Linked DNA regions of Oryctolagus cuniculus. The main gene of each other region encodes a partner of the protein of the gene in region 2 in a complex. Links are inferred from orthologs where the notes say so. Each region holds a gene or a part of one and is shown on either strand. Other genes may lie near its edges.

Region 1 (3,896 bases), on a different chromosome or scaffold from region 2:
CCTGTTGGCCATGGAACAGACTGGATTATCCAGCGCACGGCGCAGCTCAGGGCAGGCCAACGACTCTGACACGTGGAGGAGACAAGTTCTTTCCGATCCGCCACCTCTGCTACTTAGTCCTCACTTCAAGCCTTCCTCTCACCAAACTGGAAAATCAGATTCTGAGCTGGGGTTTCCCCAGCCACGCGGCCTGCAAGGTGACCTCGCTCCCCTACGTAACTAATAAGGCTGAAGGGACAGATGCCATGCCTTGTGAAACACTGACTCCATCCCAAGCCACGGAAACCAGAAAGCGCAACAGAGACCCTCACATTCCAAGAGAGCAGCCTCAGGCCACTTGCACTAACTGCAGGGCCACACCCTTAGCATGCCGTGAAGCTAAGACCCCAGCCACCTGGAAGCGAAGCCACGCATCCCATTTGCCATGAAGAATTTCCCCACTCACACACAGTCTATGAAAGGCAAAAGAGAAAAATTGGCATGTTCAAACTTTGTTTTCAACAAAGAAACATTGTGATTAATGTGTTTTTAAAAGGATTATTATAAATCCATGTATATATATATGTATGTATACACACACACGTATACATATACATATATATAAAACACAGGCGCTTACGGGCAGCAGGCAAGAGAAAGGGCCCAGGTCACCAACCGCCAACCCAACGCACAAAGCAGCCCTGCCAAAATGTCCCCTCCCTGCCCACCTGCCCCTCACCCTGACCAAGGGTGACAATCTGTGAGCTTTTGTCTATACTCTAGTATGGAACCCAGTTTCACCAGAGGTCCGCGGGGGTCTCGTTCAACACTGGGCACAGTAGCCCACAGCAGCCACTCCGGAAGTAGCTATATGATGAGCCGATTTTAAAAGTCTGTGGAAAGCGGAATTAAAAGTTCACTTTACAAAAAGAAAAGTCTGAAATCTGTGCATATGAAAGGCTTTCCAAGAGTGCGTGGAAAATGCCCATTATGAGCAAACCACGCACACGTTTCACATCTTCTCAGTTTCGGCTTTCCACAAACTTTCTGAAGTAGCCTTGTCTCTACAGGGACCGGCTAAATAATTATTGTATCTAAATGTAATGGAGTATTAGACAAATGCAGGCGCATTTCATTCACCTGGAAGCTGCGTCCGGGGATGAAGCAGCCACAAAGTATTTGCCAAGAAACACAGTTTCTCCTTGTCTCTCACACCTTGTCTCTCACACGCACGCACGCAAGGGGCTGCTTTATGATGCTGGTGGACCTTGGTCAGGCGTGTCAGACTTGAGCAAACAGAAAACCTCCTCCTCCACCGTCAGTTCCCGTGCTTCTGCTCCCAGTCCTGGAGACCGCTGCGGGTGGGCAGCGACCACGCACACCCTCCCACACCGGGCCTGCGGCTCTGGAGCTGACCCCGACCCCCAGGTCACCTGCAGTCTCCCCACACGACAACAGCCCTTCCCCAGCGCCCGCTGAGTAGCACTGCTTCTCAGAGTCACCGCATCTCCCTATGAATCACAGGAAAGCAGCCAGCCAAACCCACATCAGAACTCCCCAACTCAGAACCCAGAAGCAAACCTATCCCGGGGTCTCCTGGGACACAGGGAAAAGACATGAAAGCTTTGCATCACAAAGAAACCATTAACCCCCAAACTTACTGCAGTGGAAACAGACCCTTCCATACCTCACCCTGGAGACTGAAATCAAACTCTGTTTACCTTCGGTGACACCGCCTTGCTTCTGAGCTTGTCACTTCTCCCAGAGGCAGGGCCCGGGACTCCAGCCCTGGCTGAGGAGGGACAGGACGAGACGGTTACAATGTGTTCCCTGGATGCCCCCCAGCCTCCGGCCCTTGCAAGGGGAAAGTCACGGTGACCCTGCCTTCGCCCAGGGTCGTTCTCAGTGAAGCCCCGTGCTCCTCCTCCCTACCAGCCAGCAGCCCTGCGAGCGGGGGCGGGGCGGGGGGCGCCCTGATTCCCTTGGGAATGGGGGTGGCAGGGGTCGCGGTGCCTGTGCAGACCCAGCCGGCCGAGAGCGCTCCACCTACTGCCCAGTCCTGGAGTTTTCTTAGAAAGAACCCTGACATTTGGGGCACATCTCTTCAACTTTTTTTTAAACAGGGGTTTGGGTAACGTGGGGGCGTGCCATGGTCCCCCCACCAACCAGGGTGGGCGCTGGGTAGAGCCGACCCCCCCTTCCCAACCTTGCACCCGCTCCAGCGGGCCAGGCCGGACCGGTCCCGAGGAGCCGCGGGAGGCCGGGGACAGGAAAGACACCTCGCAGCCCAGCGGAACCTGCCGGGGAACCCGCGGCTGCCCACGGCGCCCGGCGCACAGGGGCCCAGGCGCGCGACAGCAACCGCGCGCGCGTGTCCCCGTCGGGCTGCAGGACGGCGCGCACCGGCGCCGAGAGTCTGTCCGGGACACGAGTTACCTAGCCTCGGGGGTCCCTGGGGGTCTCGAAAACGCCCCCAGCTCTGTGACACTCGAACTCCACAGCGCACCGACGTCCCCGCCGCGGGCCTGGCCTCCCAGGGGACACCGAAGGACCCAGCGTCAGGAGGTCTCCGGCTCCGCCGACAGCCTCGGGCGCTTGGAGGGGCACCGAGCGAGAGCGGCCCCTGGTCCCGGGACCCTACTCGGGTCCCCGGCGAGTGCCCTCGCCCCGCGCCCCCGGGCCATGCGCATGCGCCGCCCGGCCCCTCCCGTCCGCGTCCGCCGCCCTCTCGGCCCGGGGCAGCAGAGGCCCGGCCCGGCCCGCGCCGCGGACCCCGCTCGCGCCGCCCACCCCCGGCACCTGGGCCCGCGGTCCGCCGCCTGCTGGTCCGCGGGGCGAGCGCCGAGGGAGGCGGCGCCAGGCCGGGCGCTAGCGGCCGCCTCCGCCCCGCCGCCCCTTGCCCGCGCCGTGGGGCCGCCGCGTCCCGGCCCTGCCCGGCGCCGCCTCCGCCCGCCCGTGCCAGCCGCGCCCCGCCCGCGCCACGCGCCGCCCCTCGGCGCGCCCCGCCCGGTCCGGCCGCGCGGGACCGACCCGGAAGCCCCGCCCCGGGCCCCGGCCGCGGCCCCGCGCGGGACGCACCCACCGGACGGCGGCGCCCGATTGGCCGCCGGCGGGGGCGGGGCCGGGACAGCCCTCGCGACTCCCACTGCGCGCCCCGCAGCCGCGGAGCTGGGGGAAACTGAGGCCCGGGAGGCAAAGGGACTGCCCAAGGTCGCCCCGCGGATGGCTGGCGTGGGGGGCGGGGAAGGGGAGGCGAGGGTCCCGCCGGGCGCCCGTGCCGCGCTGGCGAGGCCCTGAGCGCTCGCGGAACTCGGCTCCGCACGGCGCGACGAGGGGGTCTTGGCCAGGGCCCGGGGACCGGTGCCTAGGGTCTCGGGAGTCCGTGGGGTGCGGGGCGGGAGGACGGGGAAGGGCGTTCCGAGAGCCCCAGGACGCGTCAGCAGGTGGCGGAGGTGCCAGGCCGTGGGCACGAGTGTGAAGGGCAACGGGGACAGGGCGGGGAGGCGCCGCCAGCTCCGACCCCCGCCCCGGCTGCCGGTTCCCTGGGGGTGAGAGAGGACTTTGTGCCCAGCGAGGCGCGCGGGCCCTGCCAGCGCACTGGGAGGTCGCGGCCCCGCAGCCAGTGGCGAGGCTGAGGGGACAGCGCGCAGAGCCGCTCCGGGTGCGCAGCGCCCGGCGCCCCTTGCCGCGGGAACGAAACTTGTGCAATGTCCGCCCAGCGCCGCGGCGGCGGGCTCCCGGGGTGACCTCGTAAGTGAGCGGGCGCGGCTTCCACCCAGGTCACCGCGCCGCGCAGGGGCTGCAGACCCTGGCCTTGGGGCCATTTCGCAAGCTTCTTGGAAAGTCACTCCTGTCGGTTAGCTGGGACTGCTGTGAACTCTGCCCCACCCCCTGGACACCCACGCTCGATCGGGCCT
Region 2 (3,796 bases):
CTGCTGCTGTCCTCAAAGACGGTGTCATACTCGGGGCTCTTGCACGAGGCCAGGTCCTCGTCCTCCAGGGCGGTCTCCAGCAGCCCAAAGTGCTTGGTGAGGCTGGCGCGGATCTCGTGGTCTCTGAGCAGCACGCTGTCCTTGGGTGGGCCGCCAGCGGCACAGCTTCTGTCCTCCTCCCTGCCGGGGACCTGCGTCTCGGCACACAGGGTCCCCGGCTGGGGCCAGTCCTCAGGGTGGACCCCGGAAGGCTCCCAGGACCTCAGCACCTTCCTCTGCAGGGCACCCTCCGGCCTGAGCACCTGGCAGTAGTCGTGGTCTCCGAAGGAACAGGAGAAGGGGCGCTTCTGGCCAGCCTGGGAGGCCGGCGGGGCCGCGGCGTGCCGCAGGTGGGAGAGGAGCTCGCTCCGCTCTGGGGGCTTCTTTGGCAGTTTGTGGGCAGCCCCTGGGGCGGCCCCGAGCTGGAGACCCTCAGGGGATGGGGGGCTGGGAGCTGCGTCTTTGTCCAGGCTGTGCTTGGGGTTGGGCTTGAAGGGGTCCTCCTCCATGGGCTTGTATGGAGGCGTGGTGGGTGGGGTGAGCCCTGCAAGACGAGACATCTGTGAGGCAAGACGCATCTCTGGCCCTGGGGCCATGAGGAGCCCCATTTGGAAGGCACAGAGCTGGCTATGTGCCCCTACTCCCTGAGCTTGATGGATCACGGGTGTCACCAACTGGCCGCCCTGCTGCTGGCCGAGCCTAGACGGCACCCCGGGAACCCTCCAACTCTCTGTGGTTGGCACGGGATGGAATGCACCTGGCAGCTGCTCTGTGGGCTGCTGATGGCAGCTGGAGCCTCCAAGTCACCAAGCTGTCTCTTTTGGCCCGCAGGCCAGTGCTCAGCAAGTCTCCCCAGTCCTGTCTCCCAAACACCACAGAGCAGAGCAGGTAGCAGAGGTAAAACTGTCCACCTAGACTTGACCAGGGCCATACCCTATTGCGATTCTACCCTTGCCCTTGGCCTCTACTCTCCCTATGCACCAAAAAGAACTCAATGAAATGCCCATCTCTTCCTCTCTGGGGCTCCTAACACCCGCAGGGTGAACCTCTGACTTGCGCAGTGAGACCGGGTTCAGCATCTCCGATAGACCCCGCCCCTCACCCCTCTGAGCCCTCCCTGCCAGCACACTGTTGCCCTTCTGTGGCTTGCCTGGGTCCATTTATCCAGCACAAAAGGCCCTGCTCGGGGTACCCTGCAAAGTCTGCCCAGGCCACACCCCTGCCCAGCCCAGTCCAGCCCCTCTCTGCATCCCAGGGCTTTTGCCAATACTTCAAACCAGGCGCAGGTGAGACGGTGCTCAGCAGGGAGTGAGGCTCTGCCGCCCCAAGACCACAGGCTGCTCCTTATTGTGCATCTCAGCACCTGTCACAGCTGCAGGTTGGGAGGGCTTGGTGCGCACCCCCTCATTGCATGAGGGGTTTGCCAGCTCCCCGAAAGGCACCCAGCAGCCGAGCCACCCTGCTTACCTGCCGTGCCACAGAGCTCCACTGTCAAGGTCTGCTCAAAGCTCTTCTTGCCAAAGGGAGGGTCGCTGGTGGGGGCAGGAGGACAGAGAGGAAAGAGGCCAGTGAGCAGCAGCAGCTCCCACCCCCTCCCCCCAGCACCCAAGGCGGGCACGGGGACACCAGGTGGACCCTGGCTCTGGCGCCCGTGGGAACGGGGCCTGGTACAATCTGCAGCGGGGACTTTCCCATACTGGCTGCACAGCTCTCAGGACACAGACAAGGTTTGTGTGGACAGAAGATAGAGAAGGCAAGGCTCACGGCCTCCTTCCTTTACAGACAGCAACCGAGGCCCAGAGGGGGCAAGGGACTTTCCCAAAGTCACACAGCCTGCTCAGCTTCTGCCCATGGAGGAAAGCGCTCTTTCCCCAGAGGAACAGCTTCTGCAGTGACCCCAGCCTTGCCTCTCCCTCCCTCCCCTGGGCCTGCAGGACCTTGTTCCTAAAACCCAGCTCCTGAGGGCCCCAGATGGCGATCAGGGCAGGGGCTGATGAACCTCCCCACCCCAGCACCCCCAACACAAACACCCAACATGGCAAAACCTCCCAGACTGTCGGCTATACCAAACATTGTTAAGAAATCTACCTTTGTGACAAGGCCAGCATGAGGCACCTGGGAGATTCTGAAAAGAAGACCAAAAAAAAAAAAAAGACAAATAAAATTTCCATCTAGAAAGACCCCAAACTTCCACTGGTGCCAAGCACAGCTGCCGCTCAGGCAGGTGGCCCACAGGCTTCTGCCATCTTTAGGGGAGAGCAGGCACGGAAAGCCACCTTCCCCACACCCAGGACGTCAGCAGGTGCAAAGGGCTGTCCAGGAGAAAGAGCACAGGGATCCGAGGGCGACCCCTTCTGGCCACATGGAGTAGCACCACGGCAGAGAGTTCCCAAATCCCGCAGCCGAGGGCTCTGGGCGGAGTCCCGCACAGGACCTCGGTGTCTGCATCCTAAGGCAGGAGGCCCTTGAGAGGCATCCGTGCAAATAATGTGACTCCTTAGACCACTGCCTGGCAGCAGGGGGACTACTCTGCACCTCTCATTATCCTCATTACCACCGCTACTAGCGTTTACAAGACACCTTGACCGTGGAGGTGACTGCAGGTGCACAGCTCGCCCCCAGGAAGACTGTGTCTCCCCCCCCACCTCCCCAGCAGCCCCACAAGGGCAGGCCTCTTGCTCTTGGCTCATAGAGCAGCGCCTTCTCCCTGGCATGATGACAAGCTTAGAGCTGTACGGTGCTCCCCCGCAGATCCACCCCTTGTACAGAAAGAGAAGTTGAAAGCCAGAGAGGGGGCGGGAGACGTGGGCACAGGGCTCCCGCGGGGTTTGCTACCAGCCGTCCCCGCCCCCTCCTCCCAACCTGCCCATCCTGACTACCTCCGGAGGGGAGCCGCGGGCAGCCGGGGTCCTCGTCGGTGTCCCCGCACCCGCTCTCGCAGGGACTCTCCAGGGCAGAGATCTGGGGTCCTTGCACATGCTCTCGGCCACTGTCCTCATCTGTGGGGCTGTCCCCCTCCATGGTGTAGGCCTCGGAGGCTGGGCAGAGGGAGGGCAGCGCGCCTGGCGGCTTGGTGGGGACCAGCGTCTCGTCCGTGAACGCCAGCCAGGGGCCCAGCTCGGGGTTCAGTCTCCGGGAGCGGCGCACGGGGCACACGGAGCTCTCCTGCTTCCTCCCCAGCTTGGTCCACGGCACCCCTCGGCCCAGCCTCTTCCTGCCCCACTCCTCCTCCTCCTCGTCTTCCTCCTCCTCATCTTCCTCTTTCTCTTCCTCCTCCTCGTCGTCCTCCTCCTCGTCCTCCTCCCGCGGCCGATGCAGCCCACCAGGCCAGCTGAGCTCCTCTTTCACGTCGAGCCGCAGGGGCCGCAGGCTGGGTCTGGGCCCCGTGCTCTTGGGTGAAGCCGCGATCCTCACCTCCTCCACAGGGGAGGGGCCCCCTGGGGGCGCCTGACCGTCTCTGGGGGGTGCGGGTCTGGGCTGGGGCGTGAGGGAGGCGTAGACAGGCGTGGCCAGGCGGTAGGGTTTGCTGACATCACAGAGGACATCCTGGGCCAGAAGCTCCCTCAGGATGGAGAACTCGGCCCAGGAGGCTTTGGAGGGGTGCCGGGAGCCGGACTGGGGTCTGACCTGCTTGGCAGGGCTGCTGCAGGGCTGGGGGGCTGGCTCTGGGGCCTGCGGGGGCTGCTTCTTCTGCGGGAGGCAGTAGGTGTGCATGTAGCGAATGAGCTGCACCATCGCCTGTGCATCCTCCTGGGGA

Evidence for each region.
Region 1: the proteins of PPARGC1B (region 2) and PPARA are in contact, whole or in part, in a crystal structure (PDB 3SP6), measured with the Homo sapiens proteins. The link is inferred for Oryctolagus cuniculus from reciprocal best matches to the Homo sapiens genes PPARGC1B and PPARA. Residues at the interface, in NP_573570.3 of Homo sapiens: Ser154, Leu155, Leu156, Gln157, Leu159, Leu160, Leu161, Thr163; in NP_001001928.1 of Homo sapiens: Val284, Thr285, Thr288, Glu289, Lys292, Phe297, Leu302, Asn303, Gln305, Val306, Leu309, Pro458, Leu459, Glu462, Ile463.

Annotation. Positions count from the first base shown.
Region 1 is NC_091442.1:120,675,684-120,679,579, reverse strand, and holds the start of PPARA (peroxisome proliferator-activated receptor alpha), read right to left. Parts: upstream 2,934-3,896; 5' UTR 2,779-2,933; intron 2,771-2,778; exon of another isoform or gene 2,416-2,770; intron 1,772-2,415; 5' UTR 1,701-1,771; exon of another isoform or gene 1,667-1,700; intron 1-1,666. UniProt on the Homo sapiens protein: Ligand-activated transcription factor. Key regulator of lipid metabolism. Activated by the endogenous ligand 1-palmitoyl-2-oleoyl-sn-glycerol-3-phosphocholine (16:0/18:1-GPC). Activated by oleylethanolamide, a naturally occurring lipid that regulates satiety.
Region 2 is NC_091437.1:37,163,433-37,167,228, reverse strand, and holds part of PPARGC1B (peroxisome proliferator-activated receptor gamma coactivator 1-beta), read right to left. Parts: coding exon 2,919-3,796; intron 2,165-2,918; coding exon 2,128-2,164; intron 1,572-2,127; coding exon 1,507-1,571; intron 584-1,506; coding exon 1-583. UniProt on the Homo sapiens protein: Plays a role of stimulator of transcription factors and nuclear receptors activities. Activates transcriptional activity of estrogen receptor alpha, nuclear respiratory factor 1 (NRF1) and glucocorticoid receptor in the presence of glucocorticoids.